2 linked regions of the Diceros bicornis minor genome follow. The protein of the gene in region 1 interacts with the protein of each later gene in a pairwise test. Links are inferred from orthologs where the notes say so. Each region holds a gene or a part of one and is shown on either strand. Other genes may lie near its edges.

What was found. The genes of interacting proteins can lie anywhere in the genome.
Region 2: the proteins of EDA (region 1) and LEPROTL1 interact in binary tests that used the Homo sapiens proteins (3 or more experiments, as listed by UniProt). The two-hybrid records come from large-scale screens. The link is inferred for Diceros bicornis minor from reciprocal best matches to the Homo sapiens genes EDA and LEPROTL1.

Annotation. Positions count from the first base shown.
Region 1 is NC_080781.1:63,071,547-63,078,709, reverse strand, and holds the start of EDA (ectodysplasin-A), read right to left. Parts: upstream 3,006-7,163; 5' UTR 2,815-3,005; coding exon 2,419-2,814; intron 2,210-2,418; coding exon of another isoform or gene 2,081-2,209; exon of another isoform or gene 1,700-2,080; intron 1-1,699. UniProt on the Homo sapiens protein: Cytokine which is involved in epithelial-mesenchymal signaling during morphogenesis of ectodermal organs. Functions as a ligand activating the DEATH-domain containing receptors EDAR and EDA2R. May also play a role in cell adhesion.
Region 2 is NC_080768.1:27,856,422-27,863,745, reverse strand, and holds the start of LEPROTL1 (leptin receptor overlapping transcript-like 1), read right to left. Parts: upstream 3,006-7,324; 5' UTR 2,910-3,005; coding exon 2,894-2,909; intron 1-2,893. UniProt on the Homo sapiens protein: Negatively regulates growth hormone (GH) receptor cell surface expression in liver. May play a role in liver resistance to GH during periods of reduced nutrient availability.

The DNA of each region.
Region 1 (7,163 bases):
GTTTGTGTTGAAAAACTAAAATATAAAAATATGACCTATGTGGCCAAATCCCACAAGGCTGTTTATTTCCTTATTTATGAATCAGAATCTGTCGGTATAACTTAGAATCTTGACTGTCAGCATATACTGAAATTAAATGTCCCTGCAAAGCCAGCAGAGGGTGCACCAGGGCACTAGAAATTTTACCCAAGGTGTAGCAGTATCAATTTATCTCTAATAGCTGATCAACTTTTCCTTTTTTTTGTTTTTTTGGTATGCTAAAACTAATATCCTCAAGATAAACTTAAGTTGAATCTGGGCTAAAATTTCTTCAAAGCATACTCCAATTCTCCTGAAAGTGAAATTCAGGAAGAATAAGGATACATGGTTAAACTTAGTCTGGCCAAAATGTAGGTAAAGTAGCAGAAAATGATGCAGATCTGAGCCTTCTACTTTGTAAAAATTCTACTATGGAGCTCCACCCTATTCCCTCCAAAAAGGCTCCAGGAGGTAGTATGCTATAGGGGAATGGGCACTGATCTGGGAGTCAAGATATCAACTTCCATTCTAATTTTGACAATAGTTGCATGACCTTGGACAAGTCACTTCCCCCTCAGGGCAAGGGGATCAAACAAAACGGACTCATGTGGCCTCACAATTCTAAAAATTTCTGACTCTAATTGATGTCAACAAACGTAAAGAGCCAGTATGCTTGCGTCTACTGCTCAAAAAAATTAAAACAAAGAATAAAGGATAGACAATAGGGAGCTGTATTTAAACCAAGACAGAACTATTTGAAGTGCCATGCAAAAGACAGGTAACTAAATGCCATTATAGACCTGTGAGAGTCTCACACCATCACAGAAGCCCTAGACTACAATTGTCCTGCTAATCTTCAGTCCATAAACATGGGTCTGTCTATTCTGAATGCCAAAAAGCCTTGGCCATCATTTGACTAAGGAAGCTCAATTCCTTCATCTTTTCACAGAATATTAATGTTCAGCTGCTAAGTATTTCTACTGGGCATTGTTGGGGGAGGAGGGGGTTGATAGATAAAGGGAGCCAGAATCCTAGTTAATTATCATTTAGCTACAGTGTTTAAAGTTTCAAGTATGAGAAGCATGTCTACTGATTCTCTTCTTTGATAGGCTGTTATATAAGTTGGAGTGTGCTAGCAAGACATTTTAAGGCTCAGGGCAACTTTACAATGCACAATGTAGAAAATGTGTGAGTCCTAACATTACAGTATTATCATGAATGTGATAGCAGCTTTGAATGGGTGGTCAAGGTAGCACAAATAATGTTTGCAGAGTATGACAATGATTCTGGATGTGGTAGAAAATATAGAAGGCCTGGGTCCCTGACCTCAAGGAAATTATTTGCACAACATGCCCTCTTCGCCAGGAGGAACAAATTCACTATTATTCTTTAACCACCTCAAAAGGATTCTTAGATGCTTCTCAAGTTTCACATAAGACAAAATATGGCAGTCAAGAGAATACTTATTTTAAGTGCACTAGATTTACTTGAATAAGGAGCTAGAAAAAGTAGAAAACAAGCAGCAAAGCTAATAGTTTGCTAACAAGGGCACAAACATCATAAAGTTTGCAAAAACTGCTCTTGAGAGATTACTCTTGAGTAATTATTCCATCAGTAGATTCCTGGTCTCAAGCTAGCAGTAGCGAAGGCACGTTACACGCCCCCTCCCTACCCACCCCCCAAAAAAGAGTCAGAACTGGCATGCAAAGGGTGAGTTTTATTTCCATAGATTTTTTTAAATTGCTGTTCAGAAGTTGTCTAGCAAGACGGCATATTTCTACCAGAATTCCTCAGGGGCGCTGATCCTCACTAGAACACTGAGGACAACCAGTCTCAAATTGCAGGTAAGTGTGAGCAAGCCCACGTTCTGGTCAGCGCAGAAAGATCCGCGCTGAAAATACGATTAAAAGTTGTTTCAACCGGCGTGGAGCATTTATTACAGCTGTTTACAGCTCCAACACCAAAGGAGAGCCTGCTAGTGCTGGCATCAGCTCTGGGCACGAAAAAACAAGCACCGCGGGCAGAGAATCTCACCAGGAGCAGAAGGGCCAAGTTGCTGCCGTTAGTCCGCCAGAAGGGCAGCGCCGGCACCTCCGCCCCCCGGCCCGGCCGGGAGCGCAGCCAACTTTTCCCGAGGCAGCCTGTAGCCGGGGACGGCGGGCGCAGGCCAGAGTTCCCAAGTCCTGGGGTCCTGAGAGAGTCTGGGTGAGCCGAGCCAGGGGTCGGGGACAACCTGCCCCGGGGCAACCTCTCCCACGCCCGCCTGCCCCCTCCCAGGTCCTACCCTCCAACTTAGCTCGAGGTGGCAGAGTCCTCCCCAGGGCCCTGTGGGGGAGGGCCCCCGCCCTGCCCACAAGGGGAGGGGGCCTCTGCCGCCGCCACCCCTACTAGGTGACTCACCTGGTGCCCGTCCTGGGAGTCTGGGGGGAATGTGGTTTCTCCCGGTTCCAGGGGCTGCTGCTGAGGTGACGGCTGCCCGAAGTGGCGGGTGATGGAACCATCAGGGTCCAGGCCACCGGAGCTGCTGAGGGTCCCAGAGGTGCCAGGGGTGCCGGGGCCGCCAAGGCGGGACTCGGCTCCCCGTTCCCGCCGCAACTCAGAGCGCAACTCCAGGTAGCAGCACAACGTCAGCAGGTGGAGGGCCAGCGAGAGGCCAAAGAAACCCAGGAAGAGCCGGCAGCTGTTCCCTTCGCCCGCCCGGGCAGGGGCCCCGCGACAGCCGCAGCCCTGGCTCCCCCGCTCCCGCGGCGCTGCCGCGGGCAGAGGTTCCCTTCGCTCTACCTCGGGGTAGCCCATGGCCTCCGGAGACGCCCACTCTCTGAGGCCCGGGAGCCGCCGCGTCTGCCTCAGCGGTTCACGACCCCTGACAGGCGGCTACTGTCCTGCCATCGGCTGGGGGCTGCAGGGACCCGTTCCTGCGCTACGGGCGCTGGGCGGGACGGAGCAGGGAGCAGCCGCATGTGCAGCTCCACTTCGAGGGGTGGGAAAGGGAGGAGGACGGGCGGGAGAGACGGGCGGCTGGCCCTCGGAGAGAATGAGGGAGGAGGCCCGGGCCGACCCGCCCCATCCCTCAAGCGGCTGCCGGGACACCCAACCACCGGGCCCGCCAAGCCTCGGCGCCCCGCCCCCGGCCGTTCCACCCAGGGCCTCCAGCCGCGGGGCGGGACCTGGGGGCGTGTGGGTTCGCCTCTGCCTGGCGGCCCCACCCAGCTCTTCCCGCTTGCCCGGTTCCAGTTGGTGACTGCCGCTGTCGTTCATCCCTGGACTCCGCCCCAATTTAACCCTGTAGCGCCAGTACAGGGGAGAGGGAAGAGAGGGAGGCTGAGAAGAATTTGGGAACCTTGGAGAGAAAGTAGAGCAAAGAAAAGGAGGCAGAAACTAGTATTAATAGAAATGTTTGCAATTAACTGCAGTTGTTAATAACATCATCCAGTACTTATCTGTTGCTTTCAATCTTCAAAGCATTTAACAGACGTTAAACTAATTAAAACAGCTCTGGGTTTGGAATGAAACCATGCCTGCTGTGTTTGCAATCCAATGGCGTGGCAAAAGAAAGAGAGACCCAGGAGCCTGAGAGCCAAAGGGAGTGAGAATGGGGTGGGACTGAGGCAGCCCCACTCTTACAGTGAGTCTGGGGCCTCAATCTAAGTGACGGAGAAACCCACCTGTGTCAGGTGGGAGTGAAGTGATGTTGCCCCACCCGGGGTAAAACAATCCACTAGGATTTCTTGATATATTAATTAATTCAACAAATATGTATTGATCTCTTTGCAATGCAGAAACTGCTGTATGAGAGAATCCACAGCCAGTATAGTTTCTCTTCTTCCACCGCGGCAGGATTTTTGAGTGGAGAACACGTGCCTTCAATAAGAAAATGGGGAAACCGAGGACCAGAATGAGGTGGATTTTTACAAGGGTGGTCCACAGAATGGCCAGACAATATCGGCATCTCTATTTGCAGGCAACTGTTCTGGCCTCTCCACACCCCCCTCCTCTCCCTGGAGTAGTCCCTGGGGGAAGTTCAACAAGTCAGCCAAATGTTCCAGATGTACACTGCTTCAACTGCAGCATCTTCAACAGCTGCACCAATCAGAAAAGGGTTCACAGCAAAAAACAACAAAAAAAGTGGAAAATGTCAGAACAATAGACCCTGAAATGAAGGATGGAAAGGATTAATTGAGTCACAATTGACAAGACTCACTAGTCTGAGATTATAGAGAACTGAATGACCATAGCAGGAGAAGTATGTATGCTTCTTTGTCACCATGCACTCTCATTCCCATGTTATGAATAATTAGCAGTTTTTTTGACTTGAAATGGCTAGGCCTAAGACCTAGACTGGTGGGAAAGAAGAAAAATAGGGAGAAATGGAAAAGAAAACAAAAGAAGAGAAACAACAAAACAAAAACAAAGCATATGGTAGAGCCGTCAGTCCAGAGTGCAGAGAGGTCATAAACCTTAAATATATTAGCCACAGCCAACTTTTCTTCCAGACACTTTGTGAAGGGTCTCAGTGCTTCAGAAACGTCTTTGTGTCCCCTCGTTGGCCCTTACCCATGAAATATAAAGTTTGCAAAGAATATTATCATCATGCAGATAAGAAAATAAAAAAGGGCGCTTAACAGCTAATCTCAAATCCTGCTTGTTCAGTCTAGAAATTCTAGACTGGCTCTCTCTGGGTCACTCTGAGCAAGTCACTGTGCTTTTTGAGACCTTAGTTTCTCCAACTGTAAAATGACGAATTTGAACTTGAACAGCTATAACATTGTGTTTTATCTGTGTTATCACTGGCTGTGTTGACTTGGTTACATACACAGTTCAAAAAAGCTGTCCCTTCTTCCCCTAAAGTGAAAAGGGAACAAGTAACAGCCATCTCCTGGTAGTGGAGGTGGTGCTCAGGGGCCTTACTGGTCTCAGCTTACCATGTTTCACCAGCCTTTCACCAGGATGACTGAGACTCTGAGTTGCACCATTGCCCTCAGAAGCCCTGCAAGTTGCATTTGACCTGGGACCTCACTTTGGTTCCCTGGAGGAAGAACATATGACTTCATATGCAGTAGAAATGTTGGAATGCGGCAATCCGGTGAGGAATGTATGTAGTTATTTTTTAAAAGTGTTTGAAGTGTTACTTCAGTTAGCTTCTATGCTTCCATAAGTACTCCATCCCCTACAGCACAGATATCAAAATGACAGTCTGCAGGCCACATTCAGCAAATGGAGGTGTTGTGTTTGGTGCAATGTTGGCTAAAACTTTGAATTAAAAAAAATACTTGCCAGCATTTAGAAATTAGGAGGTTTCACATTAAAAATCCAGATTTTCTGGGGCCGGCCCAGTGGCCTAATGATTAAGTTCGTGCGTGCTGCTTCAGCAGCCTGGGGTTCACAGGTTCAGATTCCAGGCGAGGACCTATGCACTGCTTATCAAGCCATCCATGCTGTGGTGGCATCCCACATATAAAATAGAGGAAGATGGGCATGGATGTTAGCCCAGGGCCAATCTTCCTCAGCAAAAAGAGGAGGATTGGCAACAGATGTTAGCTCAGGGCTAATCTTCCTCACTAAAAAAAAAAAAAAAATCCAGATTTCCTGCTGCTCTATTAAAAAATAAGAAAACCTGCCAACACTGGATCCACATTCCCATATGGCTACAGTCAGCTAGAACTGCCCCCTTGAAACAAGTGTGAGCAAGTTCTGCACAATCATCCCCATCTGCTTCCTCTAGTCTCCATTACTGTCCTTGTCACTCATTTACCTTATCTGTCTGGCCCCGAGCACTCTAGGAGACAAAATATCAGCTCCTTAGCATGACCTATAATCTGCCTGGCCAACCTCATCTTCTGCTGTCCTACAAGGAACCCATGCTACCACAATACTAAATTTGTTGACACTTCTAACACTTCTGTGTCTTTGCACAAACCGATTTCTTTGCCAGGAATGCCCTCACCTGGGAAACCTGATAAATTCTTCAAGAATCAAATCATGTGTTTTCTTGATGCGGCCCCACAACTCACTCCAAACAGGTTTTCCTTTATGCTTTCACTGCACCCTGAGCATATCTCAATGATATCACTTACTGCATTGTGTTTTTATTTTTTCACATGCTTTCTCACCACTAAACTGTGAGTTCCTTGATGGTAAAAACCATGTCCTTTCCATTTTGGCAGTCCTAGTACCTAGCATAGCAGCTACCACATAGTGGGCACCAGTATTGTTTGTCAAATGAATGGGGCATGAAGTCTGAGATGGTTAACTTAGACTACCTAGAATTCCAAAAAGGGAACTGGGCCAAGCGGATGCCTGTCACTTCCACTTATGAAGCACCTACTGTGTGCAGAGCTGTATAACACATTATGGAAAGATATCAAGGAAATTGAACCAAACGGCAACTGTGCAATTATCCTCTTATTTGTCCTACTGTTGGAGTTGTGGAAAATCCAGAAAAGTAAATAATCCAGAAATTCAAATATAATTGGTTTGTAGTACTTCACTGGTTTTCTGGCCTATAAAATTTCCCTTCCTGATTTTGTATGTGTGGGCCTAATATTAAAGCAATATTAGTTGACAATACCTGAATAATAAATATTCAAAATGAGTTGACAACTTCTGGCAGAATATGATAAGGAGTTGGGCAGGGACTGGTTTAAAATACCTCTTAGCTCTGGTTAATCCACAGAACAAATCATAGATATCAGAGAGTTGACTCTCTGACCCACTTAGGGATAAGCAGATAGATAGTCAAGAGGAACATGGGCTTAGAACTTGGATCCTGGTTTGAATCCCAGCGTATTCACTTGCCAGCTGTGTGACCTAGGACAAGTAGTTTTTGCCTGTCTTTCAGAGCCTCAGTTTTCTCATCTGTGTAATGGAAATGACAACATATGCTTTGTAAGAAAGCTGTGCTTAAATGAGATGCTATATATCAAAGTGTCTGGCACAGCAGAGTAAATGTTAGTCTTTGCCGTCTAAGAGACTTCCATCAAAAGGAGATGATGACCGGGCAAGAGAAACAATAGAAAAAATAAACAAATGGGACTACATCGAACTAAAAAGCTTCTGCACAGCAAAGGAAACCATCAACAAAACGAAAAGACAACCTAACAATTGGGAGAAGATATTTGCAAAGCATACATCTGATAAAGGGTTAA
Region 2 (7,324 bases), on another chromosome or scaffold:
TGAAAGGAACCAAAATGGAAACAAAAGAGAGAAAAGGAGGGGAGGAGAAGGGAGAGAAAGACGTGTCTAATGCAGCAGAGGAGAAACTGCATATAGCTGAAAGTCAGGAGACACTGGGTCCTAGCTCCTACTATCCATCGACGAGCTGTGTAAATAAGTTATGTGAGTGGCATATAAAATGAGAGTTGGACTAGATCTAGAATGCAAATAATTCTCTGAACACCACAGATACTTGTTTTAAGACATGCTGAAGAAGTAAAAAACCATCTCCACTTTTCTATTGTAGTTGTCAATCAGCTAAGTTCACCACTATAAATAGTATATAGTAACACCTTATTTATTCAGAAGCCAAAGTATAGCTCAGAATCCTGGAGGAAACAAAGGTCACTAAAGAGACACAACAGATGTCACAAAGCCCATACACTAAAGCTAATGTCCTTTATAAACAGACCCTTACGCTCTTATTCAGAGGTTATTTATTCATTTTTTTGGTGACAAAATTGTGTGTGAATTTCAGCAAAATAAAAAATTTTGATTTTAAAGAATCCTCTATGCTCATTTATACATATATTTTTCAATAGCAATTCATGTATCCAGAACAAAATTAAGTGAAAAGTAACTTCCCCTTCCCAGAAATGATCACTGTTACCTGTAACTTGTGACACAAAATTTTGTAAGTTTGATGATCTTGTTTCCTATTTTGAAACAAATGAGAAATAGGGAGGTAGAACTGCATATAAGCAAGATCTGCCCTCTGACAGGAGGGAGGAGACTGAAAAAAATTTTAAATAGGGCAGAAAATTCTCAAAAAGCATACCAGTTTGCAGCAATCTTGGCTAGGAGGCAAGCAGACTTAGGACTGGATGGTTTCTGAGGGTAACTACGTCCTGTGACAGAGAACAATTATTCATGTTCCTATCATCACAGAAGAAAGTCTAAATTCTTTGAGTATACTCTTAAAAAGTTAATGAAAGACAGTTTCTTAAAGCAAAAAAAAAAAAAAAAAAAAATCAAGGAACTAAAATGAAATAAGATTCAGGTATCAAAAAATAATTTTATGTGACATTTCACTTCCCAATCATATTGGCAAAGATAAAAGCCTTAATACAGTGCTCAAAAGTATTCTTGTAAAGTTTCGTCAGTCTTATAAAATCAGCAACTAGGCTGATTTATATGCAAATTTCATCATTTGTGTATAAACGGTTGTCCTAGATAACACATCAACAAGGCAAGAATTTATACCGTAATTGAGTGACACAACATTTGGAAGACAAAACTTAGATGAGTCTGGTTTCTACTCCCAAAGCCTCGAGGCTAGGGATGGACCAGCCCAATTATCTAAACTCTCTAGAGACAGGGTGCTGGTTCTGTGATAACAAAGAAATTAGAGTAGGAGAAGGGGCCAGTTCCCCAACCTGGGAGTTACCAGAAAAACCCAATATGTAACAAAGTAATAGGTAAATAGCTCAAGAAATAAGTAATAGACTCCAGTTATGGCAACACTTCTCCTTAATATAGATAGGCCAACAGGAAGAAAATATCCTGGTAAACAATCATAACAATCAGAGAATCTTTCTGAAACCAAAAGCGCAAGTGCAATTCCATCTGAGACACTTTTACCCGATTAATATTTATGTAGATTTGGAGAAGGAAATTCAAAGTTAAGACCGAGACTCCTGCATTAATGACACTGAAGAAATGGGGAAGAACAGGCAAACTGGCAACATTCTAAAAAACCACAGCATTCTACCACAACTGCCTTTCACACGAGGATTTAAAAAGGTGTATCATAGTTCAAAAGGAGATTGGAAAGTATCCCAGTTGCTCAAATGACAACGTTCTACATCGGAAATGAAACGTCTTCAGACATTAAAGCAAAAATGTGACTCTGGAAAAGCAGCTCAACAAAAGCTGTCCTTGAAGGAGATAAAACACACAGAAAAAACACTGCTATAAAAGTTCTCACTTCCTGTTTGCCTGCCCTGCTACAAAGCCGCAGGTCAGGAAATCAATGTAATTCGTTGTCAAGATGTTTGTCAAGTTGAAAGCGCTGTTAACGGTATTTGCTTCTAGTCAGACTAACAAAACATTGAAAAGAATGCAACACTATTTCTAAAGAAAATACAGGAATAAACGAGTCATTTTTAAGTTTTAACACTATTTTATCTTAAAGAAAAACACAACTAAATAAAAACTTTGAAACGTGAAAAAGCCTCAACGTGCAACTGCGGACAGGGAAGAGAAAAGGAGCACTTTGGGGTCGCTTATAGGAGCTCCCCCATCCGAGAAACAGCACAAATCAAAACGCATCCGTTTTCGGAGCGTGTCAAGCTTCGAGGACCGGTCCCGAGAGTGGATGTGATAGCCAAGATCTCGGAAAGAACCGTCCCTAAGCCCTTCCAGGGCGTTCCTGGGGGACTCGGTTCGGCTCGGCACCCGAAGATCGCACTCGTGCCTTTGAGTGGGAAATGACACTGATTTTCCTTAACTGGCATCTCTAGCGGCCTCAAGCCCCTCCAAACCCCACTCGGCCGGCTCTCTCTCGGATGCAACTCCTGCAAAAGTCCGATGGCCCGAGCCGCTGCGGGACTCCTACCAGCCCGCGGACCACTTCATTCTTGGCGCGGGGGGCGACGGGGGGAGAGGCTGCTGAGGTCAGCAGAAAGCGGGGGCCCACGGAGGAGCCGTCCTCCCCGGGAGGGCGCCGCGCCCACCTACGCTCCAGCGCTGCGAGGGCGGCGGCGGGGTCGGGGTCCGGGGTCGCCCCCCGGCGCAGGGACCCCACAGCGCGCGCCCGGGCCGGGGAGGGGTGTGGAGCTCCGCGCGGGCCCCCCGCCCCTCTCTCCCGGCGGCGCCCCGGGCGGCCCTCCGGCGCCCCGCGCCCCAGGCCCACCTTTGATGCCGGCCATGGCGATGACGTCGCTCCTGGCTCCAGGACCCGAGGCGGCGGCGGCGGCCGGGAAACCGGAGACGCTCGGCGGCGGCGGCGGCGGGCAGACAACACCCGGAAGTGCGCGACGCAGCACTTCCGCCGGCGGCTCGCGCTCGCGCGGGGGCGCGGGGGGCGCGCCGGGCTGGGGGTCGTGGGGCCGACCCCTGCCTTTCCTGCGCGGATCGCCGCCTTCCGAGGCCCTCCGCCCCCGGCCCGACTCCGGGCGGTGCAGGCCGGCGCCCGCCTCCACGGTCTCCGTCCCGGAGCCCCATCGCGTATCCCGCAACCTCCCACATTCTGTGAGGAGAAGGGAGCACGAGTGGCCGCCGTCCTCTGGGAGGCGGAGTGTGATGTCTTCGGGGGATAATTTTGCGTTCTTTAAAGCGCATCCATTTCTGTCTCCTCCCCAGCCTTGTGATAAAGGAGAAGTGAGGCTAGCTGGGTCGTCTGCGCTTGGCTCCTGGGTGTCTTGCACGGAGCTAGGGTTCTGCAGAGAACCCGCTTCCAGAGACAGGAGCCCCGGGACCCAGGAAAGGGTGGATTTACTACAAATCCGATCTCTTGGGAGTCTGAGAAGCGCTGGTTTTTTAGTAGTAACAGGGCTAGAAAAAATACGAGAAAGCATAGGTACAAATGCATTGATTTCAGTCATCCTACAAATTTATTGAACACTTACTGTGTGTGGGGAGCAGGGCTGGGCACTGAGGTGAGCAAAGCTAGGTACGGTTTCTACCCTCAAGGAGCTTGTAGTTTAGTGAGAGAGACAGAGACAAAAATTGTAAAATTGGAACAATGATAATTGCTAGGAAAATGGGTCGGTAGTCCTAAGAAAGCCTTTGCTCTAGATCAGTTAGAAAAGATTTCCCCGAGGGAAGGACAACAGAGGGATGAACAGGTGTGTAAGTAAGAGGAGAGAAAAGGGAAAAGGCGTTACCGGGAGGGGATAGTGTATTGGGGAGGATGAGCCAGGGGGCGAACTCCAGGAGCCGGGAGCTTGGTCTGTTGGAGAGAGGAGAGAAGGCCAGACGGATTGCTCCAGGTTGGGGTGGGGCAGCATGGTTATATAGTAGGGTTCTCTACTTGAAGGAATTTTTTCGTTTTGTTTTGTTTTTTCTCTCTCAGCAATGAGAATCTTTTGAAGGATTTTAAAAAGATACAGGAGGAGGTGGGTGACATAAGATTTGAATTTTTCAATCTTTTCCGTCACCAGAATCAGATACACTGGCAAATAAAATTTTGTTTTGTGAATGGTTGGGAGAGATGTTTCCAACACGCTTTACAATGAGAGCCACTGGGAAGCTCAAGGTATTGTCCACCATGCTCCCCTCCACTACTTCCAGGGTTGAATTACAATTTTTTAAAAAACAGGTCACTTGAGGCTTCCTGCCCCAAATAAATCTATAGATATCCTGTGGAGGAGTAGAATTTTTTTCTATTCAAGTTAGTGCAAAAAGTTCTGCCATCTTCTGTATCAGGAAGGAAGAGCTTCCATTTAAGGATTCTGGTATCAAAAACACGAGGCACACTTCAACATATGCCATGGAAATGCTATTTAGACAGTCTGTGAACCACCAGCTCCCTTTTCTACACTGAAGCAGGCATATGCCTCCTCCTCCCAACCATCTTGAAAGGAGTAGGTAGAATTCCTGGAGAAGTAAATGATTCCATCCCAAATAGTCACCACTAACACCTTTTCTTGATTTGTTCCACGGTATTCCATTCTTGAAAGCAGGGATGGCTGAAGGAACATAGAAGAGAGAGCTGATCAGTGTTGGGGTATTGGTGGTGGGAAGTGATAGGTTCTTATCTCATAGGCTCATAGCTTGGGTCCTGGGGGAAAGATCACGTTTTAGGAAGCCTTTTGGGGCTTCCACAATCCCCAGTGTCTGAGTCAAGTGCTAAGCCCCTAATTTCCTCCTGTGAATACGAATGGGTTGGGCATTACAGACATTCATCTTTGGTGACATTAACGGGCAACTGGGGTTGTTTTCCAGATTAAAGGGATCTATATTCTTTTGCTTCCATGGTAATGGAATCCTAAGAGATTGTGCTCCTTTGACTTTTCCATGAGATCCACAGTGTTTCTGGCAAGAAAACGCTCACTACCCTAAGGACTGTTTTTGGTCTACAGATGTTGTCTAGAGTCACCAGACCTTAAAAACAGTGTTTCCAAATGTTGTATTTCAAAGACCACCTGTAAGAGAATTCTTTGGGATGCATCCTAAAAATGCAAATTCCTGGGTCCCACGCTAGACCTGCTGAATCAGAACTTTTGTGGGCAGAGCCCAGGACTCTGAAATTTTAACAAGCATCCTAAAGATCTCCTATGCAGGGGGCCGGCCCAGCGGCGCAAGCGGTTAAGTGCGAGCGCTCTGCTGCGGGGCCCGGGGTTCGCCAGTTTGGATCCCGGACGCTCAACAACGCACCACTTGTTATACCATACTGTGGCGGCGTCCCATATAAAGTAGAGGAAGATGGGCATGGATGTTACCCCAGGGCCAGTCTTCCTCAGCAAAAAAGAGGAGGATTGGCAGATGTTAGCTCAGGGCTGGTCCTCCTCACAAAAAAAAAAAAAAAATCTATGCAAACTAAAGTTTGAAAATAATTGTCTGAAAAAGCTAGAATGTCAGGAGTTTTCTTCATCAGTTTGCCAAGTGAATCCTAAACTTTGTTACATCCTTTAAATGTTCTGTAAGTATTCTTACATAATAGTTAATCAGTATTACTTCTCATAGTTTCAAAACTTTTTATTCAGATGGCTTCCCATCCTCCCAAGTTAATTCACAAGGATAAGGAAGGAGTGAGAGGAAGAGCTGTGGTTTATTGAGCACTTGCTGTGTGCCTGGTGCTTTAAATATTTATCTGATTTAATCCTCTCCACAATTTTGTTAAACTTGAAATTACTAACTCTTACAGATCAAGTCAGAGAAACCTCAGAGAAGATTTTAGTTTTAGTTTTTAAGAAACTTTTTTTGGTGGCCGGCCCTGTGGCATAGTGGTTAAGTTCATACACTCCGCTTCAGCAGCCCGGGTTTGCAGGTTCGAATATCGGGTGCTGACCTACACACCACTCATCAAGCCATGCCATGGCGGCGTCCCACATACAAAAATAGAGGGAGATGGGCACAGATGTTAGCTCAGGGCCACTATTCCTCAAGCAAAAAAAGGAAGACTGGCGACAGGTGTTAGCTCAGGGCCAATCTTCATCACCAAAAAAACCCCAAAACTTTTTATTGTGGAAAAAGTTAAATATATAAAAAAGTAGTCTGAATAGTATAATGAACTTCCATGTGCCATCAACTACCTTCAACAATTAACACATGGTTAATGTTGTTTTATCTATACTCCTTACCCACTTCCCTCTACCTCCCATGTTATTTTGAAGAAAATTCCAGACATAATTTTTTGTCTTTTATATTTCAGTATGTTTCTAAAAGGATTCTTAAAAATAACATAGCTATAGTACATTTATCACACCCCAAAAATAATTCTTTAATATCATCATATATGAGTTAGTGTTCAAATTTCCAACTGTCTCATAAATGTCATTTATTTTATAGTTCATTTGAATCAGAAGCCAAATCAGGTTGACACATTGCTACTGATATGTCTCAGAGACATTTTAAGAAACTGCCTCTTATCATTTAGATCTCAGCTCAGATGGTAGCTTCTCAGAACCTTTCCTGGGCATCCTATTTATTATAGCACTTCAAATCGTCTTACCTTCTTTTCTTCTTGAAGGCACTTATTATTTATCTGAACTATATTTGTTGGCTGTCTCTCCCACGAGAATGTAAGTTAGTACAATCTTTTATGTTTTGTTCACCACTGTCTAGAACTGTACATGGCAAATGATGGGATCTTAAATAACAGAAATTCTCTTGTTAAGTAATTAATGACCTCGACGTTGCAAAATCCAAAGGCTACTTTTTGATTCAACCTTTCAACAACAGTGGACACTGTTGACCATTCTCTCTTTCTCTCATCTACCACGTTACTACTCTCCTGGTTTTTCTTGTACCTCACGGGAGTTACTTTTCAGACTCTTTCTAGGATCTTCTTCTGCTCAAGGTTCAAATGATAGTGCTCTCTTAGTTTGGTCCTGGGCCTCCTTCTTTGCCATATCTACATTCTCTCCCTATGCATTGTATTTCTTCCTGTGGCATTAATACTTTCTTCATTTTGATAACATAACTACCAAGTTTACCTTAGCTTTGAAATTCAGACTTGTATATCCAAGTGTCCATTTGACCTGTTTACCTGGATGCTTAATAGTCACCTCAAACTTAACATGTGGAGAACAAAATTCTCCATTATCTTTATTCCAATCCTGCTCTGTCCTACTCCAAGCCCCCATTGTTCTGCCTCCTCTTGTTCCAATCTTCCTCTGGT